Linked DNA regions of Ovis aries. The protein of the gene in region 1 interacts with the protein of each later gene in a pairwise test. Links are inferred from orthologs where the notes say so. Each region holds a gene or a part of one and is shown in the gene's direction. Other genes may lie near its edges.

Region 1 (4,194 bases):
GTCTCTTAAATTTCACCTGCCTGAGGTCAACTACCCTGACCTCAACTACAGCACAGAAAACTGCCTGAAATTTCTAACATTAATGCTGACCATAATTTGTCTCCTGATTCCCAGTACTGGATTTGACAGGCATCCCTGTCCTACCACATACCTGAATCCAATCCCTGATCCCTAATTTTGATCTAATTTTTACCTGTAGCATCAACTCTGGACCTTTAACCCTGAATCTTCATCCCTAAACCTAAAGTTCATTTGTCACTTGATTCCTGATTCACCCCTTTCTTGTTTATCCCCTGTACTGGCTATGCTAACCTTCTCTAATCCCTAAATCTGGACTTCTAACTTAGTTTCTGTTGTTGACCCTTAACCTGAACTCTAATGTTGGTCGTTATAGAAAACAAAATAATGCCCTTAATCCAAACCTCACCTACACAAAACGCACCTCACACTAATAAATCTAAATTTTAACCCCAGCTGCACACTCCTAAAGCTAACCTTAACTCCTAAAACCCAACTCCACCTAATCTCCAACTCACCCATTCCTGCTCACGTACCCGCTATCAGCTAACCTCAAAGCCGATCCCCGCCCTGCGTCACACTGCCACCCACTCCTCACCCTCCCTCTAAACTATCCTAGGCCGAGGACTGCTCCAGGAAGGGCCTGGCTGCCGAAAAACTGCCTATTTAACTCAGAGCACAAGCAGAGATACACCGGACGCGAACCTCTCCAAGATGACCCGAAACAGACGCAGAAGTCAGGGGCCCTGCCCGCCCGCCTCCCAGGCCTGGTGTCGCGGCCCCACCCTGAGGCCCCAGTTCGCCCGGTCCGGCCTACCTGCGCTGCCCGGCTCTGTGCCCCGCCCGCCGGCCCGCTAACCCGCTCGTTCTCCCGGTGGCTCTCGGGCTGCGGCCTCGCCCTCCCTTCGACACTCTCGGCCACTTCCGTCCCGGGAACGTCCCCCACCCGCGGGCGGCGCCCTGGGCCCGCGCTCTATGGTCGCGGGCACTGCAGGAAGCTGCTCTGGCCCCAGCTCTCGATGCTCGGGAGCCCGCTGACGACCGGCAGCCCCTCCCCAGCCGGAAGCGAGGGTGCGGTGCAGTCCCGAGGAAGCGCCAGAACTGCGCCCTAGTTCCCTTTTAGGCTGTAATCCTTCCTTTTTCTAGCCCGGGGCGGAGCCGCTTCCTCAGAATGCCCGCCCTCAGGGACTGCGGAGGCGGAAGGCACGTCCCCTCTATTTGCATCGCGCCCTGGACGTGGCGCGTACAGCGGCAGCCTCCGCGTCGGGGTGGGGTGGGGGACTCCAACTCCCGGCATGCCTCGCGGGTAGGTGCGTCACTTGTGTTCTGTTGGAAGTCTAGCGGGGAGTGGAGTCTGGAAGGCGTGTCCCGGTTTCAGAGCCTTCGCCAGCAGCTAGGAGGAAAACGCCGCTGAAGAGCCGATAGGTGGGGCCGACTGACAGTCCGTCGCGGTTACGCCTGGTTGGGGATAGGGTCCGGGTGGCGAGGTGAACTCCTGTGTTTCTGCGCATCTTTTCCATAAATGTCTCATATGGAGCTGGCGTTGGACCCGGGTGACCGTGACCTGCTAGGCTTTCTGCTAGAGGAAAGCGGTGGTTTGGGTGCGGCGCCCGACGAGGCCTTGGCGTCTCCGCCGGATTGGGAGCTGCCACTTTCTGAGGCGAGTGGGGGGCTCTGAGTCGGGGAGGCGTGAGGCGGGTTTGTGGGCGGGGTAGGGGTGTCCCTGAGGCAGGGGGTGGTGATGGTCAAAGCCTGTCAATTTGAACCCTGTGCAGTCTCTGAGCGATTGGGACGTGGAGGATTTCCTGAGCTGCCTGCCGAGTCCCCCATCATCGTTGAACGTTTTCAGCAGCTCTAACTCCTGTCTTGTCCAGCATGACCACACCTATTCTCTCTCACAAGAGCATGTCTCCATAGATCTAGGTAAGCCTGAAATAAGTGAAGTTTGGGAAAGGAGAGGACTCCGAGGCCTGACTACTCATATTTTCCCTTTTGCAGATAATGAGAGCTATGGAAAAGAGGGGACTCAGATGACTCCACTGTGTGTGGAGGAGCCGGCAGATCAGGTACTTGACTTATAGGAGGGTTATTTCCGTATTGCGCGGGTCGGGGCAGTATTCCGCGTTACTTTCTGAAATCCCTTTGCAACTCTGCTGCCCATCTCTCCGGAACCGCAGGAGATTGCTAGGCTGATACTGACTGAGGAGGAGAAAAGGCTGTTGGAGAAGGAGGGGCTTACTTTGCCTGGGATGCTTCCACTCACTAAGGTAAGTCTCCCATCGCGGGGACGGGGGTTGTGAGTTCCAAGTAGGCCAGTTCTGTTAATTTTGTATCAGTAACTTGAAAAAGAATTGAGGTGAGAGATTAGCACATTTTTGAGTAGGAAGCTGGGGCATGTGGTTAGTATACTGCTTGCAAGGACAGATCCTGGTTTGTAGTGCTTTTATAAATTTTGGTGTTCTTTTTAACTAAGAATTCAAAATTATCAGGGTAATATTAGTAAAGGGATTTGGAAAGTACTGTACAAGCGCGGGGCTCTGATACTTATATTTCACTGGTTTCATGCAATTTACTTGTAGCTGAATAGTAAATCAAGTATTAGAGTAGTATAACAAGTAGTATAACAATTAAGTAGTATAACAAGAGTAAATGTGAAATTTGGAGTTTCAAGCAATGAGAGGCAGTTTCACATGCACAGTATTGTGATACTATGATGAAATCAATGTCTGTTAACAGAAAGGTTAACAATTTTAATTTCTCAAAAATATAAGTTGAGGCAATCCCCTGGCAATCCAGTGGTTAGGACTCTGTGCTTTCACTGCTCAGGGTCAGGGTGCAATCCTGGTCTGCACCAGGGTGCAATCCCCTGGTCTGGGAACTGAGATTCCACAAGTGCGAGGTGTGGCCAAAAAAAAGTACAAGTTGAGTCAACAGTGTGATATGGCTACTAAGGAAGAGAATGGGGTTTAGAAGCTGTATCATCAGATTTAGTTGTTGTTGTTTGGTCGCTAAGTCGTGTCCAACTCTTTGTAATTCCATGGACTATGGCCCCCAAACTCCTCTGTCCATGGGATTTCCCAGACAAGAATACTGGAGTACGTTGCAATTTCCTTCTCCAGGGGATCATCCCAACCCAGGGATGGAACCTGTGTTTCCTGAGTCGCCTGCATTGTAGGCAGATTCTTTACTGCTGAGGCACTGGGGAAGCCCAGTTGTATCATCAGATACCAGTTATCTAATAGTGTTGCCACTAGAAGGGCAGTAACTATCTTGTTTTCTTTTACATTGGCCAAAAAGCTTCTTAAGTTTTGAGCCTATTATCTTTGACAGATATTAAGAAGATGCAGTCCATCCTGAGAAGAGATAAGATGATGAGTTAAAATTTTTGCCCAGTTTTTTTTTTTTTTTTTAACTCTGAAGAAATGCCAAGTGCTTTAAAATAGCTGAAGACCTTTGTTCTATTATGGCCCCAGAGATTAGGTGCTAGGTAAGTCCAACAGGTAGAAATAACAAAGGCAGATGTTGGCTCATAAGGAAGGTTTTAAAAAAAAATTATCTAACAAAATTGTTACAATGGTTTGGCTTGTGAGGACAGAAGCATTCAGACAGAAGCAGAGTGCCTATTGGTCAGGGAAATTGTAGAAGGAATCTCTGCTTTGAGAAGATTGAACTCGGTTGCCTTCAAACTCTTTGGTCTAATGTTCCTCTGATGGGATCCCTTTTCCTGTCTTCTCCCAGATGGAGGAACAAGTCCTGAAACGAGTGCGGAGGAAGATTCGAAACAAAAAGTCTGCTCAAGAGAGCCGTAGGAAGAAGAAGGTGTATGTGGGGGGTTTAGAAAGCAGGTATGAAAGGGAGCTGGACTCGGGGGTGGGAGAAACAGGTAATTGGAAGTGTGAGGTTTTTGAAGGGAGGATACAGGCCATGTCCCCACATCCCTGTTATTCCTCCAGGGTCCTGAAATACACAGCCCAGAATCTGGAGCTACAGAACAAAGTACAGCTCCTGGAGGAACAGAATCTGTAAGCAGCTCTTTCACATCAGGGTTTGCTCATCCCTCCCGCTTACTACTGTCTCAGTCTTTCTCCTGCTCCATATTTGATTTGTCACCGGGCATCTCTCACATATGTCTGATGCTTGGTCTTTAGTGGGTCTCTGATTCCATGAAGCTCACAG
Region 2 (3,963 bases), on another chromosome or scaffold:
GAAGGGTATGTGTGTGTAAGGAGTGTGTGTGTACAGGGTGTATGTATATGGGGTGTGTGTGTGTACCCATGGTGGGTGAACTGTGTGTGTGTTACCCATGGTGGGTGGGTAAGCGGTGTGTGTAAGGGGTGTGTGTGTGTAAGGTGTGTATGTGTGTTTAAGGGGTGTGTGTGTACAGGGTGTGTGTGTGTGTTACCCATGATGTGTGGGTAAACTTGTATGTATGTGGTACCCATGGTTGCTGGTAAAAGGTGTGTGTGTGTGTGTGGCTGAAGGGTACGTGTGTGTAAGAAGTGTGTGTGTACAGGGTGTATGTATATGGGGGTGTGTGTGTTACCCATGGTGGGTGTGTAAACTTTGTGTGTGTGTGTTACCCATGGTGGGTGGGTAAACTGTGTGTGTGTTTGTGTTACCCATGGTGGGTGGGTAAACTGTGTGTGTGTGTGTGTTACCCATGGTGGGTGGGTGAACTGTGTGTGTGTGTGTTATTCATGGTGGGTGGGTAAACTGTAAGTGTGTATGTGTGTGTGTTATCCACGGTGGGTGGGTACACTGTGTGTGTGTACCTGTGTGTAGGGATAACGGTTCTGGTTTCTCCTTGAGTCTTCGCTTTGTTGAGCACTTAAAGCACTTTATATACTTTATATCACGGTGTTATCCTTTCAAAGAAGTCAACTGAGGCTCAGAAGTTACACGACTGGCCCAAGTTAGACAACCAGTTAAGTAGCCATGATGGCCCCCCTGGGGTTTTAGTAACGTGCCACTCAACTGCACAGGAAAATAATGACAATTTGAGTAGTAAACAACGACTGTTGAGAGCCTGAGTTCAAGGAATTCCAAACCTGTTCGACTCCCTGCAACTTCACCCCATCTTCCGCCCACTCCAGCCCTGTTAGCTTCAGGTCCCGGGGGTCAGCCCTTCCATTGGCTATTGGCTACAGGGCCTCATGCTCATACGAGGGGAAGTAGCCAATCAATGTGGCTCGTCCCCGCCCAGCCAGCCCGCGCTAGATCGCGTAATCGTTGCCCCTCCTGTGGCATTTCGGGAATTGTAGTCCAGTGAAGCATTGCTGCCTGCAGTGAAAGGAGATCGAGAACTACTAGATCCAGCGACCCGAGCGCCGCGCGGTCCAGCTTTTAGGAGTACCCCTCCAACAATCAGGATCTGCAACCAGCATCCAGGAACAGGTGAGAGAGGTCGAGGGCTGGGACCGGAGGCAGGGGCTAGAAACTCGGTCTTAACTCTGTAGCGCAACTTCAAGGCACAGGAGGTCCAGTCTGTTGCGTCGGTGTTCCCCCGTTTTGGGAGTTGGTGGGACGGACTAGCTGACACCGTGGATGTGCAGAAACTCCCGAACTCTGCCATGTGCTTTCCTGGAATCCCAGTATAACTGCACCCTGCTTTGCTCTTCCGCTGCGAACCCTACTCACCCACCCACCCAGTGTTGCTCCGAGGCTGTCAGCACAGTCCTGGCTCTGTGAGGTCCAGTCCCAGAGCCCCAGACTACATGTCCATAGTACCCAGGGGTTCTGCGTTCACGCCTCAAAGCCTGCGCTCCCCTCTCCCTGCCTACCAAGGGAGACTTGGGTTCTAGATTTGGCGCTGCCATTCCCCGGGTACCTCCTACCTCCTAGAGCCTCAGTTTGGCCTCTATAAAAGAGGGTGATTTAAAGATCCTCCCAGCCCCCGGTCCTGAGGTCCTTTACTCTGGATTCTTCAGTCTGTGCTCCAGAATTTGGAGGAAGCAAGCAAGAGTATAGCAATTCCAGAGGCTCCTTTGTGGAGGCGTTGACGGTTTCTCAGCCGGGTAAAGTTACATGGCTTTGAGTCCTAGCCTTCTTATTTTAAGTATGATCAGCTGAGTCTTGGTTACCCAGCCGTACTTTTTGTTCCCTGAGTTTCTTTAAGTGCCCTCCAGCTTAGCCCAGAAGAGAGTGGGGCATTCTGGGTACAGAGGTGGAAGGTTGGAGGGTGACTTGGGGAGCTGACAGCGTGCATCTGCCTCTGGTGCTTGCCCCTGCAGGGAGTGCTCAATGCCCCCTCTCTGTGCCACCCCCCATGCTGCCCCTGTCCCGCTGGCTGAGATCTGTGGGGGTCTTATTGCTGCCAGCCCCGTGCTGGGTGCCCCGGGACAGGTTGCTGGGTCCCCTACGGCGACCCACCCTGGGGCACGGGTGCCCAGTCCTGGGGGCCTGGCACAGTGCCCGCTGCTGGCGGCAAGCGTGGACAGAGGAGCCTCGGTGAGTCTGGCAGGGGTGAGGGGCCTTGGGGAGGGGAGCAGCTGATTAGGTTTCTGACTTGTCCTCCCTCTTGTCAGAGCATTTTACTCCTCCCTCAGAATGAATGGAGACCAGAAATCGGACGCGTTCGCCCAAGAAAGGCAGGATTTCATCCAGCACTTCTCCCAGATTGTCAAGGTGCTGACTGAGGAGGACATTGGGCACCCAGAGACAGGAGATGCCATTACCCGACTCAAGGAGGTGAGGGATTTACAACTCGAGAGGGTGAACCTTTGCAATCTCTGCACATGCGTGGGGTCTCTCTATGGCTCTGGGGTGACTTTTGATAGGTGTGGGAACAGACTTTTATCTGAGAGACTCTGGGTTCATTCTGGAGGGGTCGGAGCCTGGGCAGGTCCAATCAGTCCAGCTTTGTGGTTCTGGTAGGCCAGACATACTGCTTTGCATAGGGGTGGATCGCCCTGGGGGTGAAGGCTTTGATCTGGGTAAGTGTTTGATTTTGTTAAGACAGGGAATTAGGTGTCCAGAAATCATAAGGGGCTATCTTGGCAGGGACCTGGGAGGAAGGGAGGAAGCAGTCTGAAGTGGGGCTGAGTAAAGGTAGTGTTCCATCAGAAACCCCTCCTCTAGGGCAGGAACTATTTGTTGAGATACCTACGTTGCCTGATTCTTTTGGAATATCTAGTGATTCTTTTTGTAATGCCGTCTCATTTGTCTGAGGGAAACTAAGGAAAAGGAAGTCTGTACTTGGATGGAGATTAAAAAGGGAAGTCTTCCCAGTGAATTGCATCTGGTTGATAACAGGGCAGCAGAAGGCAAAATGAGAAGCCCCAGCAGGAGGCAATGCCACTGAAGGAGTAGCGGATGGTCCCCCAGCCTGAGTCCCCTCCAAGCTGTCCTCTGGCTAACCTGGGGAGGAGGGCGCTTGTCTGAGTTAAGTGAGAGGCTTTTTATTGCAGATAGGCTGAACCGTGGAGGGGGGTCGCAGAGGAGGTGGCTGAGAAGGGAGGAATGGGGGTGGGAGAGACCTGAGCTAGCCGCTCTCTTGGCATGCACAAGAGTTTTCCCCGGGTTCAAGCCCTGTCTGGGTTTGGGAGCAGATCTTAATCTCCAGTATGGAGCCTTTCAGTGTTCTGAAGAAGACAACGCAGAGAGAGCCTGGGGACTGGGGAACTTCCTGCTCTGCCCCACGACTTGGAAGAAGCCAGGAGCATAGTAGTTCAGGGGCTGCCTGGAGGAGGGGTTGGGATTGAGGAGGATAAAGTTAGGTTCCCTGGTCTCCGGTGGGAGAAAACAAGGAGAAATCTCAGAATAGCTGCTCCGCAGACCCTGATGCCTTCCTTGTCCCTCTGCTATTCCCCCAGGTCCTGGAGTACAATGCCATCGGAGGCAAGTACAATCGGGGTTTGACGGTGGTGGTAACGTTCCGGAAGCTTGTGGAGCCCGGGAAACAAGATCCTGACAGTCTCCAGCGGGCCCTGACTGTGGGCTGGTGTGTGGAACTGGTGAGAAGGGTGGGGAGCAGCAGGCAAAGACGAGGTTTACTAGAGTGGGGGTGCCCTGGGTGGGATGGGGTGGGACGGGAGGGAAGGGATGGGCCTGAAACTCGGCTTCTCGGTTGTGTTTCTGTGCATCTAGTGTGCTGTGGCCAGACTTAGTGACGAGGGGTTAACAGATGTGGGGAGGCCCTTGTACCAGAAGGTGCGTGTTTCACCTGTACTC
Region 3 (3,491 bases), on another chromosome or scaffold:
GTTTTGCTGGAATACACACGTGACTGCATCACCCCATGGGTTCCACGGCCCTTCGTTTCAAATCCTTCTGCCTCCCCGTGGCTGTTGACCTCTTTGGGATCCAGCCTGGCTGCCCGCTTTGTTTCCCTCCAAGCCTGATTCATTCCTTGGTTCGACCGTCCTGAACCGCTTTCCACTCTTCCGTGGCTGGGCTCTTTTTCTCCTCTGCAGAGGCTGCTCCCTCTTGCCTGGTGCCTGGCTAGCCCCCACTTATCCTTCAAGACTTAGCCTAGCCTCTTTTCTTCTAGAAAGCTCTCTCTGAACCTCCAGATTGAGGGGGCAGCCCTTATTAATGCTCCCATTAACATCAAGCACTTTCTCTTGCAGCGTGCATTTTTTTGACATTGTAACTGCCCGTTAAACATTTGCTTTTGCTGTTTTGAGTTTCACGAGGGCAGAAATGTGACTACTGGGTTCATAGCTGGATTCACAGCATGAGATTATGCTTGGAATACAATGTGTGCTCAAAAGATGGTCAAAGAATGGAAGAATGTTCCCTGAAGCTGAGCTTTGAAATACACACAAGACCCATACCAGATTTATATACAGCCCTGGAAAAAATATGAAAAGTTAAAGGGGTTCAGAGTTTATTAGGAAGGACACCCAGAGCTCCCCGCTCCACCCAGAGATCTCCTCCCAAATCCACAGGAGAAAATTATCCACTGTGCTGCTCAAGTCTTTCCAGGCAACGAAACCAGGGTGCGGGGCAAGGGCAGGGAGCTGAGCTCCTGAGCGCACCTCAGGTCAGCCTTACCTTCATGTTGTCCGGGGGGTCTCCTTGGCCTGCAGTTGCACAAACAAATATCACCACGGGCTCATTAATCAGATTCACCTCAACAAAAAGACACACATGTAAGGCCTCGGGCTGTAATGGCCAGGCATCCTCCCAGCAGCCTGGCTCCCCTCCTCCTCTCAGAGGAATGGGGCAAAGGGACTCAGCGCTCGCGAGCGGCCGGCCTGCCTGCCTTCTCTTTCAGGCTCCTCGGCTACCGCTCCCCTGTCTCCATGCGTTAAACTGGCCGCTGCTCCCAAGCGTTCCCGGCCCCTAAATCTGCCGTAATGGAAGGGCCCGCTCTCAGACGAAACGCAGCCCCCTGGGGCCGAGCGCTTCGGGGGCCGGGGCCCCAAGCCCGCCGGGTACCCCCGCCGAGGTCCGAGGAGCCCTCACCACGGGGTAGGAGTCCAGGGCTTCCACCCGGCAGCTGAGCTGCCGACGCCTGGCCTCGCGGCCCAGCCTCTCCGACACATCCTGGGCTGTGCCCGTTTGGCTGCCGAAGAGCACCAGGAGTCGTGCGCTCGGCATGGGCTGACCCCGGGGAACCCCGCAACCCGGACGTGACCCGCAGCACTCGCCGCCAGCCCGGGCCCCCGCGACCGGCTCCAACTTCCGGCTTCTGGCGTCGGCCGGAAGTGACGCCCTAGGGCCGCGCCCGGCGGGGCATGGCGTCCGAGCGTGGCGGGCGTCGGCGGGTGGTCTGTGAGGGGTCCCGGGTCGGGGCCGGGGGGTCGGCCGCGCGACGGGGCCGAGGGCCGGGGCAGGTGGGGCCGCTTGCTGCCTCTCGTTGGCCGCGGCGGCGGCAGCGGCAGGCGCCAGCGAGGCTAGGAGGGCGCGGCCGCGTAGCTCGGCAGCTGGGACGCTCGGCCGGGCCCCGGCCCGCGCCCAACCGGCGCGATGCTCTTCTCGCTCCGGGAGCTGGTGCAGTGGCTGGGCTTCGCCACCTTCGAGATCTTCGTGCACTTGCTGGCCCTGTTGGTGTTCTCTGTGCTGCTAGCCCTGCGTGTGGACGGCCTGGCTCCTGGCCTCTCCTGGTGGAACGTCTTTGTGCCCTTCTTCGCTGCTGATGGGCTCAGCACCTACTTCACCACCATCGTCTCCGTGCGACTCTTCCAGGATGGAGAGAAGCGGCTGGCCGTGCTCCGCCTTTTCTGGGTCCTCACAGTTCTCAGCCTGAAGTTCGTTTTCGAGATGTTGTTGTGCCAGAAGTTGGTGGAGCAAACGAGAGAGCTTTGGTTCGGCCTGATCACGTCTCCGGCCTTCATTCTCCTGCAGCTGCTCATGATCCGCGCCTGCCGAGTCAACTAGCCTCGCAGAAGATAGGCTGGAGTGCTGGGGCCCACACGGAGGCCCCGTGTCTGCCGCACCAGAGAAATCTTGAGTCTGAGGGCCAGCTTGTGCCCTGCTGCGTGCCTGGTTTTCGATCGGTCGTGTCTGAAATTGTTCCCTCAGTTGGGTTAAAAAGAGAAGCCTTGATTCTTAAAGTGTATTTTCTCTTACTTCATACTTTGAATAGCTAATCTTGAACTGAGATCCCAAGAAGGATCCTGAGAAGGCCAGACAATCCTGAACTCCTGACAGAAACTGCATATAAGTAAAATATCCTCATGGGCTCTTGAGTATTTTCATGGATCCTGGCAAAGTACGCCGTGTGCAAAGGCTGCAAAGCTGGACTCGGGATATGCCCTGGCGAGCAGTGCTGACCTGAGCGCTTGCTGTCCCCATCTCCCCGGACAAGACTTTCTTAGATGCTTGAGCTCTAAAAAGTGTAAACCGGCTTGTGTCTTCTCCCCAGTGGCACTGCGGAGGATAGCTTTTTCTTCATTCCAACCCAGGCAGACAGGAGGATGTTAAATAAGCGTGACCCGGACCCTATCCGGAGATCTGTCGCCTGAGAAAAGAACTTGCTTTCAAGGCACTGCTTGGCTTCCTATCCCAGCTTTTCCACCACCTTGTGGCCGGCAGTGTTAGTGCATCTGAGACGTTTAGGCCACTCTGAGGGACCAGAGAGGAACAGGTGTTCTGATGCGAATGGGCATTGAGACCTACACATGGGAAGTTTGCAGTTGGTCTCAGCCCACGCTTGTCACCCTGAGGGCTTTGGTTTGATGCCAGTTAGGTGCCAAATGAGAACATTTGCTGAGATGAAAATAAAGTAAGAGAGTGTTTTGCTGAAACACACAGTGGTTGCCTGACCTTTTGAGGGTCAATGCTGAGCCACTCCCTGCTGTGTGGTGTGTGTGTGGTCACAGAGCTGAGGTGGTGAGAGAGGGCTGGAAGTTGGCTCGAGCCTTCTGGTTGGATGGCAGCGTAGTTCCCTCGGAGCATCCCTGCTCCCTGCCTGGGAGCCAGGGTGAAGACACCCTGGGGGTGGGCCCACTTTGGGGGCTAACAGGCGTGTGCCATCAGAGGCCTTGTAGGCCTCACTGAACTGCAGAGCAGGAGTCAGCAGGCTATGACACGGGGCCTGTGTTTGTACTGCCCCTCAGCTAAAAATAACTTACATTTTCAAAGGGTTGTGAAGACACCATGGCAGAGAGTGAGTGTGGCCTGCAGTGTACGGGGCTTGTGATCTGGGCACGGTTGGCCTTTGGGTCAGATCACTTTTGTTTGTGTGCGTGCAGGGAGAGGCTGTCCTGGGCATCATAGAGTGTTCAGTGGCACCCCTGACCCCCAC
Region 4 (3,935 bases), on another chromosome or scaffold:
ACGGCGGGTGTTTTAAGTCTGCCTTACTCAATTAGCCATGCAGGTGTTGACAGTTAAACCTGCGTCGACCCGGCGCTGTTCCTTTCCCGTGAGGTGTCTGGGATCCGCAAACGCCAGCGTTAAGACCGGAACTGAGGAGATGCATGAAAACTGAGGAGAACGCTTTTTTCATGAAACACGTTCACATTTTCAATGAACGCATACTCCATTCTTCCCATGGTCCTCCACCCATGGCTGATGCTTCGTCATCACCTACATCCTCCAACCTAGACTCACGAAAGCCAATGCAGCAATTTTAAAACAAAAACAAAAAAACACACACGAGGAAGATATCAGCCAACCAAGAGCCCAGCAAGGCACCCGCCACCAGCCTCGTGCCTTTTAAGGGCTCAGCGGGCGCGAGTTCAAGGACCGCTCAGCGGCCCACCAATCACCGCACCTCCCACGCTTCGCCCCGCCCCCTCCCCGCGATCTAACCAATCCCTGGGGAGATAGCTTCTTTCCGCCCCTCCCACCCGCCTCCAGCCCCTCAGAAGCTCTAAGCCTCCAAACTTCACCGGCGCCCAGCCGCGCGTTTGTAGTCGGCGTTTATTTTTAGCTGCCGGGCCAAGCAGCCCCCGCCTCCGGGCCCGCCTCTTCACCGCCCGCCCCCCCAATGGGAGAAGGAGTTTCCGTCGCGTCAGCGCGCGGGCGGATGGGAACTGTCCAATCAGCGCTCGGGGAGAGCTGGCGTCATTAAAAAGCGGCGGAAGACAGTGGGCGGGTCATGACGCAGCGAGTTTTAGTCGTGACTTTTCCAGGGGCATCTCGGCGTCCCCTCTTTTTCCCTTTAAAGTAAAACACTTCCCGACGCACACCCCGTGCGTTTGGGGGAAGGGGCCGCGGCCGCGGGAGGGCGGTGCTGACGCGAGCCGCCTGCGGCGTCGCGCGGTCACGTGGGCGTGTTTGGGGGCGGGGCCGCGCGGCGGTTCCGGGCGGTTGGGCGCGCGAGCGAGGAGCTGAGGCAGCCGCGCCCGCCCGCCCCGCCCCGCCCCTGGATGCCGCTGTGCCCCGGCGCGGCCGCCGCCGATCGCAGCGCAGGAGCCGCCGCCGCCGCGGTTGATGTGGTTGACCCGGGGCTGAGGAGGCCGCCAAGATGCCGCAGTCCAAGTCCCGGAAGATCGCGATCCTGGGCTACCGGTCTGTGGGTGAGTGGCGGGCGCCGCGGCCTCCTCGCTCCCCGGGCCCCGAGCCTCGCCCGGGGCCCGGCCAAGTTTGGGGCCGGCGCGGCCATGTGGCGGCCGCGCGTTTCGTAACCGGCCGCCCGCCGTCGCCGCCACCTCCATCTTGGAGCGGAGGCCGGCGGCGCGGCGGGGCCCGCGGGGCAGCGCGGGGGACGCGTGTGGGAGGCCGCGGGCGAACGGGCGCTCGGGTCGGGCCGGGCCGGGTTGGCCGCCACGCCGCCCGCCGCAGGGCCCTCCACAGCCCCGGAGTAGCACCTGTCCCCCCTCCCCGCGGGGAGCAGTCCGTGATTGTTGCTGGTGGCCTTTTCCACCCCAAATTAAAACCCGTGGGGCTTCAACAAAGGACGTGGCTCCTTAGCCGTAATTTTTCTGTCTTGTGAAGTTTGAACATTTTAAAGCAAACCCGGGAGCTCAGAGGACGTTGGCTGCTGAGGGCCAATTTCCTAGGAAGAAACTCGAAAGACCACCACCCCCCCGAAACCTCCCGCTTCGGAAGCCTCCCAAGATGCTGCCAGCGACCGAAGTAGGAGGGCAGAAAAAGGGAAATTTCTGGCCACTTGGTGTCCTGTCTTTTCCTTTGGGGAGGAAAAAATAAGGTCAGATACTTGTAACCAGAATGTCGAAGTAATTCAAAAGTACCCCTCCCCGCACCCCGCCAAAGGTTGACATATATTTGAAACTGAGAGTGGCAGTCGCTTTTTCCACCCCTAACAGAGGTGGTCTGGGGTGAGAGGTGGTGGACGGGATGCCAGAAAACGAGGGAGGAAACAGAACCGTTGAACTTAACCATGCTTCAGGGTGAGGTTTTTATTGTCTTTGACAACCGGAAGTCTGGAAAAATTACTTCTTCTGTGTTGTTTTTAAGAAGTAGCTGTCCAAGGAAAAGGGCGCACTTGACCACAGTGGGGTGGGGGTGGCGAGGGCAGGGGTTCGGAGTCTGTGGTGACTGCAGAAGGAGGTGACACGAACTGCCCTGGGAAAGCTGGTAACTGCCTGCTCATTGGCCGAACTCCCCGACTTCGCTTTCCTTTCTGCTTCTTCACCCCCATTTTCCACGGTCGGTGCCAGGGTCTGTGCTCTTTGACCAAGATGAGCTGCGGCGTGCTTACTCATCCTTTTATTACCTCTCTTTGTCAAAGTGCTGGGGGGTGGGGTATCAAAATGAGAGGGTGAGAGACTCTTGTGTACAGATAAGGGGCGCCAGGAGCCCTGGGGGTAACTCCTGTGAGATGCGATGATCGTGGAGGGAGGGGGAGGAGAGGTGACAGTCTTAACAACTGCAGCCGTCAAGTCTCCGGGCGTCAGATGGAGGCTTTTCAAGTCTCTAACAGCCCCGAATGCACATATGGAACCACTGCATCCCCCCTTTATTGACAGTCTGTGTCTCAGAGCCTTTGCTTCTCTGTTCTCTCTCTTTTCCTCCTCTGCATTGTGAAGAGTGGGACTCGGACATATCCTGTCTCTTGAATGAGTTCTATCTCCTCAGAGTGCCCATAGTTAAAGGTACCAGTGTCTGAATAATCAAGTTACAGGTGACATGAATTACCTGGGCTGCCTGCTTTCAACTGAAGAGAATGTCCCAAACATTCTGGCTTATTTACCCCTGGAGATTCTTGAGGTGGTGATTCCAGTCGCCAGTAATCTAGTCTACCATTTCATCACTGTTTGTTAAAGAAGTTCTTTAGGTCCAGTTGAAACCAATTTTGTCTTTCCTGCCTTCTAATCCCATCCTCTTGAAGACCCAGAGGTGACACGTCCCCCGTTTGCCTTCACTTCACGTTTATTTTAAGCCACTGCTCACCGAGATGCTCCTGTGCTGGATCAGCCTCCAGGGGCACCCAGAGCAGGTCCAGTCCCTGTTTCCTGTGCCTTCCTGTTGCTAAAGCCTGCTCCATTGTCTCCGTGTTTATTTTCATATGTGGTGATGATTAAAATGTGTTTTGCACAGGTTCAATGACTACCAGTCTTTGCATTTGATTTTACAGTTGTTTACCTTTGTTAGGAACCAGGACTTTTTGTAGTTTGTGGGCTTTTTTGTTTTGCCAGCATCAGAAACGGAGATAGTTCCCTGATTCCACATCCTAGTCACTCTTCAGAGAATAACTCAGACTTCCGAGTTCACTGACCTGTCTGCTTGCCAATGATGCTAGGGTAGAGAAATCTGAGTACCTGTATTCCTAGGTTGTGTTACTGTGATGCTAAACTGTAGAGTCATATTGACTGGTGGGAAAAGAAGGTGGGAAAAGCCTAAGCCTGAAACCGCATCTTTCTTAGAATATTCTCTTGACTAAATATCGTATGCCAGTTTAATTTGTAAAATACTTGTCATTCTGAGTTTATTTTAAAAGTTTGGGCTTCCCTGGTGGCTCAGAGGTTAAAGTGTCTGCCTGCAATGCGGGAGACCCAGGTTCAATCCCTGGGTCAGGAAGATCCCCTGGAGAAGGAAATGGCAACCCACTCCAGGATTCTGCCTGAAGAATCCCATGGACAGAGAGGCCTGATGGGCTACAGTCCATGGGGTCGCAAAGAGCCGGACATGACTCTTGTTTGCCTTCAGATGAAACTACGAAGTGCAATGACTGTTTTACTATTTGGTGTTCAAATTTTGTAGTTATTTTAAAAACACTGGAAAAACTTAACAGTGAGAAAAACAGAATTCTCAGATAATTTATACAACTTTTTTTTTGTCCTGAAGCACCTTTCCTGTTATTT
Region 5 (3,500 bases), on another chromosome or scaffold:
CTCCCAGGAATATACCCAAGACAACTAAAAACAGGACTGTTCATAGCAGCATTATTCAGAATAGCCAAAAGAATAGAAACATCTCAGCTGTCCATCAGCTGGTGAGTGGGTAAACAATTATGAAGTTCTAACACATGCTACAAAATGGGTGAACCTTAAAAATATTGCAAACAAAAGAAGCCAGTCACAACAGACCACATATTGTATGATTCCATTGGTATGATGGGTCCAGAATCAGAAAACATGACAGACAGAAAGTAAATTAGAGGTTTCCTGGCTCTGGGAAATGACAAAGGTTGGAATGACTGCTAATGGGTAAAGGGTTTCTTTCTGGGTGATGAAAAGGCTCTAAAATTGTGGTGATGGTTGTGCAACTGTAGATATACCAAATATCACTGAACTATACACTTTAAATGGGTGAATTGTAAGATACGTGAGTGGTATTTCAATAAAGCTGCCACTTTTTTCAAGAGAAAGTATAACCAAAGCAGTGGCTAGTGGAGAAAAGAAGTAAAACTTAGCGGGTGACGGTAGACCTGAAGACACGGTGAGAGCTGAAGTCCCTGTGAAGTTAGAGAATCAGTGAGGTGGAGAAAAGGAACCAAGGCCGTGAGGACTGCAGGCCGTCCTCCAGGAGCGGGGCGCAGGGGCCTCACGTGATGATAATGGCATCACTCCAGTCTTTTGGTCTCCAGGCTAATCGTCCGTTTTTTCGCATCTCCCTCGCATGCTGTGGTTTTTAGATGTTCTCAGTGAACCTTTCTCTCCTTGGGTTTTCCTGACCCTCTTGTCCCCCTGGCCCCATCTTCCCTGGGGAGATGGTTGTTAACATCTTCCATCAACAGCCCCCAGGTCTGCTGGCTTCATCAGGATCACCTCTCCCTCTCCTCCATGCCACTGAGGCAAGGTCACTCTTTCCTGGTGTCAGTCCATGTGGGCTGCTGTAACAAAACAGCATAGACTAGGTGGCTTGTAAACGACAAATTGATTGCTTATGATTCTAGAGGCTGGAAGTCTGAGATCAGGGTGCCAGCATAGTCAGGGGAGAGCCCTCTTCTAGGTCAAAGACTCCTTGAGTACTCGTATGTCAAAAAGGGGAGGATCCTGTCGCGCCTCTTTCATGAGGGAATTAGTCCTGTTCGCCTGATGACCTGAGCACCTCTCATCACCCTGGAGGTTAGGTTTCAGCATGTGGATCTGAGAGGACACATGCAGACCATAGCACCGGGCAGAGGTCCAGCACTGGCCGCGGCTGTTCCTCTCACGGTCCCTTTAAGGAAGATCTCAGATCTCTAGTCAAATCTTACCGTGATACCAAAGTCAGACAAAAATACCACAAGAAAGAAAACTCCAGAGCAGCTGTCACTCGGGGATCCAGAGGCAGCAGTCATCAACAGAATACTAGCAGACTGAATCCTAGAACATATTAAAGCGTTATGCACCATGACGAAATGGGATTGACTCCTGGAACGCAAGGGTGGCTCAATACCTGAAATCAGTGTGATCCACCACGTTAGTCGTCCTCTGACGGGACTCTTCCTAAATAAGCCCACACACATCCTCACAGTGTCCTTCCTGTTTTGACTCTCGGGTCCCAGTGGTGGGGCTGGGCCCCGCAGCTGCAGAGCCGAGGGCAGCAGCCCCCAATGTGATGGGGCTGGGCCGCTGGGGCCTCCAGCCCCTGACCTCCCTCTCTCATGCCTGATGCAGAGTACTCAGTGGCCATGCCTGAGTCGGCGTTCCCGGGCCTCTTCGTGCTGGGGCTGTTCCTCTGGAGCCTCGTGGAGTACCTCATCCATCGCTTCCTGTTCCACATGAAGCCGCCCAGCGACAGCGCTTACCTCATCATGCTACACTTCGCCATGCACGGCCAGCACCACAAGGTGAGCAGCGCAGTGCCCCCCCCCCCCCCAGGCCATGCTGCTGATGCCTGCCCTCAGGAGCGCCCGTCTCGGTGGGGGTTGGGTTGAGGGCGAGGAGAAGTCAAGGGCATGTGATTGGGTCCAAGCCTGAACCGGCCATGGACAGAGTGAGCATGCCTGCCCAACGCTAATCCTCACAACAGCTCATTCATTTGCTTGTTCAACAAACGCTCACTGACCGCTCACTATGTGCCATGTGCTGTTCTGGACACCATCGATCAAAACAGGCAAGAATCACTGACCTTGTGGACCTTCCCTCTGAAGCGGGTGCTGCCGTTCTCCCCATTCCACAGAGTGGCAGACTGAGGCTTGGGGAAATAAAGGAACTAAGCCATTCAGCCAAGGTCACCCTAGGATGTCGTCCCCTGTGGTCGCCAGAGTCTATGCTGTCGGTCATCCACCCACCCTGGGGCTCCTTCAGGGCAACACACAGGGTCCCAGCAGTGAGGACTGGAAGCCTGGTCCTCCCAGAGGATGTCCCTGCCCCACGCTGTTCCCGTCCTGCCGCAGGGTTCCCACCCTCCCCTCGCCCTCCTTCCCCTTTGACCAGGAGCTGGGGTTCTGGCACGGAGCCCCGCAGGTCCTGCTGTTGCTCCGGTCCGCGGGGAGGGGGGCCCACGCCAGTGTGGTGTTCTGTCTCGGTCACCTGATCGCTCTCTCTCCTCTTTCAGTCCAGAGAGGGTCTCGTCGCAATGCTCGCAGTCTCTAAAGTTTCACCTCTGCCAGGCCCTTGGCTTGTGAAGCCTCAGGACCAGAGGCTAGGCTCTTTCGTGGTCTGGTTCAATGTGACAGCACCCCCTTGGAGCAAAGAAGGCCACCTGGGGGGGAGACCTGCCTGTCAACAGCTCCAGGGTCGCCCAGCATGTGTGCCTTCGTCGCCCTCAGGCCTCGGGCTCGATGCCCTGCGTGGTCCTCGGGGTGGGGGTGGGGGCTCCGGGCTCCTCTCCACACCTAGCAAGTTCCAGGGCCAGAGTGGCCTCTTGAGTGCAGAACGGAGCTTCTCAGGCAAGCTGCTCCTACCTGTGAGCATCTTGCCCACGCCACCCCACCCCCACGTTCCTGGAGCTTCCCAGCTCCTGTCCTGGCTTACTGGGGCCGGGCAGGCTCTCCAGGGCTTCAGGCTTGGTGGCCTGCCCTCCCCAAGCCGCCCACAGGGCCTGCGCCCTCCCTGGCCCGTCTGGGCCGCTCCAGCCGCTCTCCCGAAGGAGCGTCTCCGGCCAGCGTGCGGTGTGTGACCGCAGGCAGGCCCTGGGGCCCCGGGCGGTGTCCTGACGCGTGAGCCTCTGTCCGCAGGCGCCCTTCGACACCTCCCGCCTGGTCTTCCCGCCCGTGCCGGCCTCCCTGATGATAGCCGCCTTCTACCTGCTGCTACGGCTCGTCCTGTCCGCGGCCGTGGCAGGCACCGTGTTTGCGGGGAGCCTCCTGGGCTATGTCATCTACGACCTGATCCACTACTACCTTCACTTCGGCTCTCCCCACGAGGGCTCCTACCTGTACCACCTGAAGGCCCACCACGTCAAGCACCACTTCGCACACCATCAGTCGGGTGAGGACCCACCGTGCCACCCCTCCCTCAGC
Region 6 (3,953 bases), on another chromosome or scaffold:
TGAAACGTGGGGACCCTCTCCAGGAGCCAGGGTTTCAGGGGGTTCTGAAGTCACTCTCAGGATCATGAAGAGGAGCAGTGTAGTCTCCTTCTCACAACCCCAATTGAGCCCAAGTTCCCAACTAAAAATAAAGGTCTTAGGCCAAGTCCCACCCTCAGCCACCAGTTCTTCCTGGCCCAGTGTATATCCCCACCTCTGGGTCAGGAGCAGGAAGGTCACCCTGCCAGGGCCTTTCCCCCAGTGTTCTCCCGCTCCTCCAGAGGAAGGGTCATGGCTACACCGAGACACTGCGGATCTGGCACACGTGCTGACCTGGCACATGTGCCACCTTGGTGCCCAGTGCCTCTTTGCCTCACCAGGTCCAGAAATGGCCACTCATCTTCTGGGCATTCTGCACCTGCATCTGGGTCTCCAAGGCCTCAGGGAGGGCCTGGAGAGAGAGGTTTACTTTACATTCACACTTTGGAACAGCATGGGGCACAGGTTCCAATGCCCGAGGCCACCAGGAGCAGAGATGGGAGACTGACGCTTGGGATGTGGGGGTACCAACCCGAGCCCCTTCTGAAGCTGACATCTATCCTCAGCCAGTATTTGGGCCTGCCGGGGGCTCTGCACCCTTTGTCCCAGCTACCTCCCCTCCGCCGCGGGCCCTCTCCTCCAGCTGGCATCGCTGGGAACGCGGGCTCCCCTGGCTTCAGGCCTGCAACCCGGGGCGGGCAGGGGGGGTAGGCCAACACGTGACCCCCCCGCGCCAACACGGCTCGCGGACGGGCGAGGGGGGTGGTGGCCGGGTCAGGGCGGGGGGCGGTGGCCGGGTCTGACCTCGCCGCGCAGCTGGCTGCCCCTCTACGAAATCAACAAAGTCTTGCGCCTCCAAACCCAGGCCCCGGGTGGTTGGGAAGGGAGACCTGCCTTGGGCAGCGGCCGTGGACGCCCGATCCGGAGGGAAACCAGGGCAATTCTTCGAGAGTGGGGGCAGGAGGGGGAGGGCTGCGGGTCCAGGGGAAGGTGGCCCGCGAGCAGGCTCTTCCTCCATGCCTCTCTCGGCCTCGCCTCGCTCCGCCCCGCCCGCCCGGCACCGAGTCCTCTGAAACCCATAGGCAGAGGCGACCCTCCCGCCTCCCCGCCCGCTCCGCGCTCGCCCCGCCTCGGCGCACTTTAAAAGTTTTCTCTGGCCGGGACGCGGGCGTCGCGAGCCATGGCTGTCTACGTCGGGATGCTGCGCGTCGCAAGGCTGTGCGCCCGGAGCCCGAGGGTGCTGGGGGCCCGGGTCGGCCTCTCCCGGTCTTGGCAGGAAGCGAGGTTGTGGGGCGTCCGTCCTCTCAGGTACGCGGCCCTGGAGGAGAGGGACGGGTCAGTCCCCTGGGAGGGGGTCTTGGGGATCCTTCAGAGCCTCTCTGGGGGTCGATCGCGCTCAGGCTGGGAGGTCCTCGGCTGCCCCACCTCCGGGTGGCGCACGCCAAGGAGAAGGTACCCCCGCACCTGGCACTCAGGCAACAGGAAATGCTGGCCTGCCCACGCAGACTGGTGGCTGCAGCTGGTGGCTGTCAGGGACCCTGCACTGACTCTGGGCTCTGGTCCGGGGCTTTAGGCTCTTCCATTGGTGGGCACACTGATGACCAGAAGTGGGGCCTCTAGCAGCCTGTCCTGAGGGGGAGGGGCAAGGGCAAGGCCTGCGCTCAGTCCCCAGGACACTGGCTCTGAGCTAGACCCCTTTCACTGATAAACTTGGGGACCTCCCACCCCGTGTTGTCCACCCCAGGCCACTAAGCTCTGCAGTGTCTGCTCTTCTCCCCAACTGCTAACACTGCTTGGCTCCTTCCTACCTACTGGGTCTGTTTTCTTCTATCCTCAATGCAGAGGGTAGGATGGGGGCTGGCAGGTGGAGGATGTGCTCTGCAACAGTGAAGTAAGTTAATGGTACCTCCGTGTAAGTCTGCAGTTGTGAAACTGTGTTGATGAAGCAGAACTGGGCTCCCACTGATGTGGTCAGTGGTGGCTTTTACCTTCAGCACCCAGCAGAGGGAGGCCTGGGCACCGATGAGTCTGCCCTGCCACCCAGCTAGGCCACATACTAGGGCTGGGGTCAGGACACAGCTTTGAACACCAGGTGGAGTGTAGGCCTGGGCATGGAAAAGGGACTAGAAGCCGGAAGAGGTTTCTTGTCTGAGAGAACTGCTTGTTTAAAAAAACAAAAGGAGGAGGAGGGAAGTTGGAGGGAGACGGCAGACTCTTCTTGGGCTGGAGTTCCAAGATCACAGTGTTTTGAACATGCTGGTTTCTGAAGATGGAAAGCATATGCCGTGCTTTCGGGTCACCAGGCCTAATTTCCTGGGGAAACCCAGTGGCTCAAGGCGCGTCAGCAGATGGGATTCTGATGAAGAAAACAATTCTCCTCTAGCTTGGTCACTTACTACCCCCCCCCCCCTCGGTGCCTCCCTAGGCAAGCTCTGCCATGGCTAGCTTGTAGCCTCCAAGCCTCACCTCTGGTCTTCAGGATGCTCCTTAGACTGTGAGGGCTTTCCTTATTTACTTTCCAAAGCGAACATGTTTCACGATGCTAGGTCAGGCCACCTTTGACCGCATGGCATCCTTCCTGACCTTTGACTTTATGCGTAAATAAAGCAGACCTCATGCCTGCCTCAGGCTTACAATCGAGGATTAGGGGCACCAGGCCTCAGAGAAATTCTGACTGTCAGGAGGAGATCCATGGAGAGAAAGATTGCCTTAGCATTTGGCCTAATTCCCTTCCATGCCTGCCACTGCCTTGTGCTTAAGGCGTTACCTACTGACTGTGGTGGTTTAACCTGATTTTGTTCCTACCTTGCCCTTAAGAAATCCTCAAGAGTCTCAAGCATTCAACAGATATTCCTGAGCGCTTACACCATGCCAAGCCAAGGTGGATGCTGTTGTTACAAAAGCCAGCAAACTCAGTCTTCCGGGAAGTTGTAGTCCAGTGAGGGAGAAGATAAGTCAGCATGATTACTACTCACTGTTCTAGGTGCCATGGTGTGAAAAGCTCCTGGACTTCTGTACTTTGCTGTTTCTGATCTGGTCACATACAACCTGCTTTCTTTCTTTCTAGGATTTGTTTATTTATTTTTTGGCTGTACTGGGTCTTCGTTGCTGCACACTGGCTTTCTCTAGTTGCCACAAGTGGCGGCTACTCTCTAGTTGCAGCATGCCAGGCTTCCCATTGTGGTGGCTTCTTTTATTGGCCAGAGCATGGGCTGTAGGCTCACGGGCTTCAGTAGTTGCAACACATGGGCTCAGTAGTTGCGGTTCACAGAGTCTAGAACACAGGCTCAGTAGGTGCACAGGCTTAGTTGCTCCATAGCATGTGGAATCTTCCTGGAGCAGGGATCAAACCGGTGTCCCCTGCATTTCAAGGCGGATTCTTAACCACTGGACCATCAGGGAAACCCTAGACTGCTTTCTTGCTGACCAACACGCCATGCCTGTTACTTATCAGATCCCCAGTTTTGCCTGTTAGGAAAAAGCAAGAACTTTGAAGCTAAACTGCTTTGGGTTATAGCCCTGGCTCCTCTGCCTACTTGCTACATGACTTTAAGTACGTTACCTAACCTCGGAGCCTACGTGGAGTTTGTCACTAACGCTGCTGCTTGCTGTACTGACAAAGGCTTGCTCTTCTCAGTCTTTGTTTGGGGGGCAGGGTCGGTCCCTGAGAACCTCCAGATGGGGTCTGTGGAGACATTTCGAGTGATTTGAAGGTAGGAGCGGAGTCCCTCAAGAAAGTGTCCTCTTGCTTGCGTCTGGTTCTCTCTCATGGCTAGTTACCAAGATGTCAGCCTCTGCCAGGCCCAAGTCTAGCCCTTGGATCTGCTGGACAATCCCTTATTCACCCAAGTCAGGGCTGTCCAGCTTCTTTTTTCCAGAAGGAAAGAAGAAACTGTTCATTGCTCTCCAAACCTCCTGAACTACCAACTCCTTCC
Region 7 (4,214 bases), on another chromosome or scaffold:
TTTCTAGAAGAATTATCCACTGTAGCTACTCCCATGTAGAAGGGTCAACAATGCACAATAAAAATTATAACAGTGCTCTCCATGAGAAACATAACAAGCCACTCAGGACATTCTTGAGGCTCCATTTAAAAAGAAACTAAATACATAAAGTTAACTGCAGTAATCCTTAACCTAACCCAATATACTCAATATTATACTTTATTTAATCCAGTATGCTCAAAACATCATTTTAATATGTAACATAAAAAAACAATTAATAAATATTTCATTTTCTTTAGATTAAATATGTTTCAAGAGATGGCTGATGGCTACTGGTTACCATATTAAAGTCTAGACTGTATCTGGCTTTCCCAAGATACAGAGAAAGTCACACATAACAAGTTTCCAAAATGCTGAACACAGGGCTCTGCAATTGGAAAAAACTTTCTCTTTGCTAAATAATGACGACTGGCCATAAATTTTTGCTGACCCTAGTACTCTAATTGGAACAAAAAAGACAAAACAGATTATTAGTATCTGCAGAACTTTTTTAGAGTATTGTATCGGAAAAGACTACGTTTGGAAGTACTTGCCCTGGCCCTCACCTATTAACTGGCTTCATTAATTACACATAAAACCACCCTCTCTTAAATTCAGATACTCTACCAACAGCAGCCCCGAGATTTACTGAGACACTGTAAACTGGGACATACAGTAAACATTCTACGGATATTATTTCTCTCCCCCACCTACAAACAGCACTGATGGTTTACACATAACCACTCCGTCCTACCTAATTCTTCACACGCTTAAAATAAGCTGTCACCTTAAACAAAGCAGGTATGATCACTCCCATGCTGATACTAAGATTACCGAGACCCAGAGAATTAGGAGTTTTACTCAAGAGCTGACTTTGACGGTGTCAACAATGGATCAATTCAAGTCTCTTCCTTCCGCCACCCCCAAATTCTGCGTGCTTTCCAAGCACCTCTGCATTCAGGGCAACTTGCCGGTTCCCGACCCCCGACCCCCGGCAACATCCAGGCTTCCCTTACTTGCGCACGTATTTCCGGGCTTCATTCTTGTCGTAATACTGTAAGAACGAGAAAAAAATTGGGGGGAGTCGGGTAAGATATCAAGACGCGGACGCCCTAGGAGAAAAAAGAGGGGCGGGGGCGGTCACAGCCCTCACCAGCTCCGGGGGCCCTTGGAGCTCAGGTCTCCGCCCGCGAGAAGCCATCACCACGCCTCAACAGCAGAACTCGTGCAAGCGGCTCCAGAGCCCGGCTTTTATGTCATCGGCCGGGCGCCCGCCCCGTAACACGCATGCTCCACCCCCTCGTCCCGCCTTCTCTTTTACTCGATTGGCTACAGGGCCGACCGGCTGCGAAAAACGCACGTCTCCCATTGGCCAGTTCATCTTGCACTGCCCGCCAGATTCCCTCAAGATGGCAGCCCGGCGCGATCTGAGGTGGTCGCGACTGTTACTGTGGAGATTGTGGCAGCCCCGGGGGGTTCCCCCAAACCCGAGATCGGGCCTGGGCCCAGAAGCGAGGACTTATACCCGGAGCGACGGCCCGTACTCGCGCACGGCGCTCTATGATCTGCTCGGCGTCCCCTCCACGGCCACGCAGGCGCAAATCAAGGCGGCTTACTACCGGCAGAGCTTCCTCTACCACCCGGACCGCAACTCGGGGAGCGCTGAGGCTGCCGAGCGCTTCACGCGCATCTCCCAGGCTTACGTGGTGCTGGGCAGTACCACCTTGCGTCGCAAGTATGACCGCGGCCTACTGAGCGACGAGGACCTGCGCGGTCCGGGCATCAGGCCTTCCAAGACTCCCGCCGCCGACTCCGAGAAGCCCCGTACCCCTCCGCCCGGCCCTCGGGCCCACGGCCGCGGTCCGGCCTCGCCGGGAGCCAAGCGCACCATGTTCGACTTTGACGCCTTCTACCAGGCGCACTACGGTGAGCAGCTGGAACGCGAACGGCGCCTGAGGGCGCGCCGGGAGGCCTTCCGCAAGATGCAGGAGGACCGGGCCAAGAGGGGCTTACGCTGGGACGAGACCCGAGACTTGGCTTTCGTCCTCGTTCTGCTCACCGTCTTCCTCATCGTGAGCTCTCGTATTTAATCGGAGACTGGAGGGCAGGGGAGCAGCCCCCAGCCAACACCCCGCCGCCCCACCCCACCCCACCCCCAAGAAAATGGCCTTGCGTGTCATCTTGAACCCCTTGCCTCCATTTGTCTACCTCTGCTGGGGCCCAAAGGAACTGCTCTCCTCCTTCTGTTGCCCACCTGTCCAGCTTAGGCATTGACCTGCACGTCCCTACCCCCACCCCGCTCCAGAAAAGGAGGCTTTTCGATGCTCGAGAAAACAGGCCCCTAATGAAGAGTCCTGAAAGCCCGAGAGTGAGGGGTTTTCTGGAGGCCCTGGGGTGCCTGCTTCCAGATGTCAACTTCTGGAACATTTGTTCTGGCTTTCTTGTAAAGCTCCGAGCAAGACTCGTCTGCTCCTGCCCCACGCGTATAATGTGGGGCTCCTGTGTAACCTTGAAACGTGCAATGTGACCAGTTGTGGCTGCCCAAACAAAAAAATCTGGGGTCTTACAAAACTTGCCTTTTTGTGAGTTCCCCCAGCCACAGGTGAGACCTGATGTAGGGTAAAGATGTGATCGGTGGAAACTTAGCCGTTCTTGGGTAGTCAGATCCCACTTGGCCTTCTGTTGGTGGCCTCTGGGAGTGGAAAAGAAAGCAAGGTCGTGAGCCTTCCTGTGCCCGTATTTATTGAATGTATGACCTTGCAGAAATTCATCTGTGGGCATGATGGCAGGGGAGCAAATTGTTTGCTCTTTCGAGATCTGTCATACTTGATGATCCATGTTCTAGTAGGCTCAGTGATTAAAATATTGATGTCGGTAGAGCCAGATTTATCCTTGGGACACTGTGCCTGGCACCTGGTCATTCCTTGACCAGCCAGCCTCATTACTAACTGTGCAGCTCCTCCCTTCCTAGAAATAGAGCCACAAAAGTGGAGGTAAGAGTGGCCTGAGAGTGGCCCCGCCTCCCATTCTGCTGGTAGTGCTTATCACAGGCCCCCCAAGCCAAGTCCTTGAAACATGGCTACTTGAGGCTGTGGGAACTGGGGGAGTTTGAGTAAACAAGATTATTGAGGGAGAGAAGGGACATGTAGAAATGCACTTCCTTATTCAGAGCTGACTGAGGCCTTTTTTTCTTTTTATGGCTGCACAGCTTAGGCATGCGTGATCTTAGTTCCCCAACCAGGGATCGAACCTATGCTCCCCTCTCAACCACTGGATCCCCAGAGAAGTCCCCTCCCCCCGCTTCTTCCCCCCTCTTCTGTTCCTGCTGCTACTGCTGCTGCTAAGTCGCTTCAGTCTTGTCTGACTCGGCGACCCCATAGATGGCAGCCCACCAGGCTCCCCCGTCCCTGGGATTCTCCAGGCAAGAACACTGGAGTGGGTTGCCATTTCCTCCAATGCATGAAAGTGAAAAGTGAAAGTGAAGTCGCTCAGTCATGTCTGACTCCTAGCGACCCCATGGACTGCAGCCTACCAGGCTCCCTCTGTCCGTGGGATTTTCCAGGCAAGAGTACTGGAGTGGGTTGCCATTGCCTCCTCCTAACTGGTGCTAAACAAGTGGGTGATCACTTGCTAGAGCTGTTGTAATCCAGCCCTCTTAACTCTGAGTCTCTGCACACGGGGTGTGGATTAGCTGTGAGAGAGTAGGAACTCAAGTGTGTATGCACTGTTGAGCAGAAAGCCATGGGATAGGAAAACTTGTGCAGAAGACCTACAAGAGTCAGGACCTAAGTCTAGCTTCTAAACAAGGCCAGAGGTGCTTTGCTATATTAACACCAATTCCTGCACTCAGTCTTGCGTGTGCAATTCTTGTGTAAGTTGGGGATAAACCCATAGGTGGTTCAACTTGGTCTTTTCTCTAGCCTTGGAGGTTGGGGGCAAGTTCTTCAGCGTGGCTTTGCAGTGACCCATGTAAATCAGTGGTAAGGCTTTAAGTTCACTCTGGTTCAGACCTGCTGGGCTCAGCAAGCCTTGGTTTGAAGGGAGGGGCATGTGTACTTTTAAAAAGAACATTTAATGTTATTATGTTTCATATTTGGAAAACAGGGTGGGGAAAGTCTGTTCTTTTCAAAGCACAAACAAGTGAAGCTTAGTGGAAGGTACAGAAATTGGTAATTCTCAACCAAAGAGCTGGGACT

The links.
Region 2: the proteins of CREB3 (region 1) and FDPS interact in a two-hybrid assay, tested with the Homo sapiens proteins (2 studies listed by BioGRID and IntAct). The two-hybrid records come from large-scale screens. The link is inferred for Ovis aries from reciprocal best matches to the Homo sapiens genes CREB3 and FDPS.
Region 3: the proteins of CREB3 (region 1) and TMEM203 interact in a two-hybrid assay, tested with the Homo sapiens proteins (2 studies listed by BioGRID and IntAct). The two-hybrid records come from large-scale screens. The link is inferred for Ovis aries from reciprocal best matches to the Homo sapiens genes CREB3 and TMEM203.
Region 4: the proteins of CREB3 (region 1) and RHEB interact in a two-hybrid assay, tested with the Homo sapiens proteins (2 studies listed by BioGRID and IntAct). The two-hybrid records come from large-scale screens. The link is inferred for Ovis aries from reciprocal best matches to the Homo sapiens genes CREB3 and RHEB.
Region 5: the proteins of CREB3 (region 1) and FA2H interact in a two-hybrid assay, tested with the Homo sapiens proteins (2 studies listed by BioGRID and IntAct). The two-hybrid records come from large-scale screens. The link is inferred for Ovis aries from reciprocal best matches to the Homo sapiens genes CREB3 and FA2H.
Region 6: the proteins of CREB3 (region 1) and ACSF2 interact in a two-hybrid assay, tested with the Homo sapiens proteins (2 studies listed by BioGRID and IntAct). The two-hybrid records come from large-scale screens. The link is inferred for Ovis aries from reciprocal best matches to the Homo sapiens genes CREB3 and ACSF2.
Region 7: the proteins of CREB3 (region 1) and DNAJC30 interact in a two-hybrid assay, tested with the Homo sapiens proteins (2 studies listed by BioGRID and IntAct). The two-hybrid records come from large-scale screens. The link is inferred for Ovis aries from reciprocal best matches to the Homo sapiens genes CREB3 and DNAJC30.

The regions. Positions count from the first base shown.
Region 1 is NC_056055.1:52,808,428-52,812,621, reverse strand, and holds the start of CREB3 (cyclic AMP-responsive element-binding protein 3), read left to right. Parts: upstream 1-1,394; 5' UTR 1,395-1,540; coding exon 1,541-1,678; intron 1,679-1,793; coding exon 1,794-1,941; intron 1,942-2,016; coding exon 2,017-2,084; intron 2,085-2,195; coding exon 2,196-2,285; intron 2,286-3,756; coding exon 3,757-3,863; intron 3,864-3,971; coding exon 3,972-4,040; intron 4,041-4,194. UniProt on the Homo sapiens protein: Endoplasmic reticulum (ER)-bound sequence-specific transcription factor that directly binds DNA and activates transcription. Plays a role in the unfolded protein response (UPR), promoting cell survival versus ER stress-induced apoptotic cell death.
Region 2 is NC_056054.1:105,483,811-105,487,773, forward strand, and holds the start of FDPS (farnesyl pyrophosphate synthase), read left to right. Parts: upstream 1-1,163; 5' UTR 1,164-2,059; coding exon 2,060-2,241; intron 2,242-2,318; coding exon 2,319-2,481; intron 2,482-3,605; coding exon 3,606-3,746; intron 3,747-3,963. UniProt on the Homo sapiens protein: Key enzyme in isoprenoid biosynthesis which catalyzes the formation of farnesyl diphosphate (FPP), a precursor for several classes of essential metabolites including sterols, dolichols, carotenoids, and ubiquinones.
Region 3 is NC_056056.1:733,601-737,091, forward strand, and holds TMEM203 (transmembrane protein 203), read left to right. Parts: upstream 1-1,465; 5' UTR 1,466-1,711; coding exon 1,712-2,122; 3' UTR 2,123-2,991; downstream 2,992-3,491. Other genes in the region: NDOR1 (NADPH-dependent diflavin oxidoreductase 1), read right to left, coding at 794-871, 1,208-1,342. UniProt on the Homo sapiens protein: Involved in the regulation of cellular calcium homeotasis. Required for spermatogenesis. Acts as a regulator of STING-mediated inflammatory signaling in macrophages.
Region 4 is NC_056057.1:115,675,351-115,679,285, reverse strand, and holds the start of RHEB (GTP-binding protein Rheb), read left to right. Parts: upstream 1-1,135; coding exon 1,136-1,187; intron 1,188-3,935. UniProt on the Homo sapiens protein: Small GTPase that acts as an allosteric activator of the canonical mTORC1 complex, an evolutionarily conserved central nutrient sensor that stimulates anabolic reactions and macromolecule biosynthesis to promote cellular biomass generation and growth.
Region 5 is NC_056067.1:1,638,734-1,642,233, reverse strand, and holds part of FA2H (fatty acid 2-hydroxylase), read left to right. Parts: intron 1-1,710; coding exon 1,711-1,883; intron 1,884-3,215; coding exon 3,216-3,468; intron 3,469-3,500. UniProt on the Homo sapiens protein: Catalyzes the hydroxylation of free fatty acids at the C-2 position to produce 2-hydroxy fatty acids, which are building blocks of sphingolipids and glycosphingolipids common in neural tissue and epidermis.
Region 6 is NC_056064.1:36,003,018-36,006,970, reverse strand, and holds the start of ACSF2 (medium-chain acyl-CoA ligase ACSF2, mitochondrial), read left to right. Parts: upstream 1-1,153; 5' UTR 1,154-1,198; coding exon 1,199-1,326; intron 1,327-3,953. UniProt on the Homo sapiens protein: Acyl-CoA synthases catalyze the initial reaction in fatty acid metabolism, by forming a thioester with CoA. Has some preference toward medium-chain substrates. Plays a role in adipocyte differentiation.
Region 7 is NC_056077.1:34,036,460-34,040,673, forward strand, and holds the start of DNAJC30 (dnaJ homolog subfamily C member 30, mitochondrial), read left to right. Parts: upstream 1-1,414; 5' UTR 1,415-1,427; coding exon 1,428-2,108; 3' UTR 2,109-4,214. Other genes in the region: BUD23 (probable 18S rRNA (guanine-N(7))-methyltransferase), read right to left, coding at 1,035-1,072, 1,172-1,219. UniProt on the Homo sapiens protein: Mitochondrial protein enriched in neurons that acts as a regulator of mitochondrial respiration. Associates with the ATP synthase complex and facilitates ATP synthesis.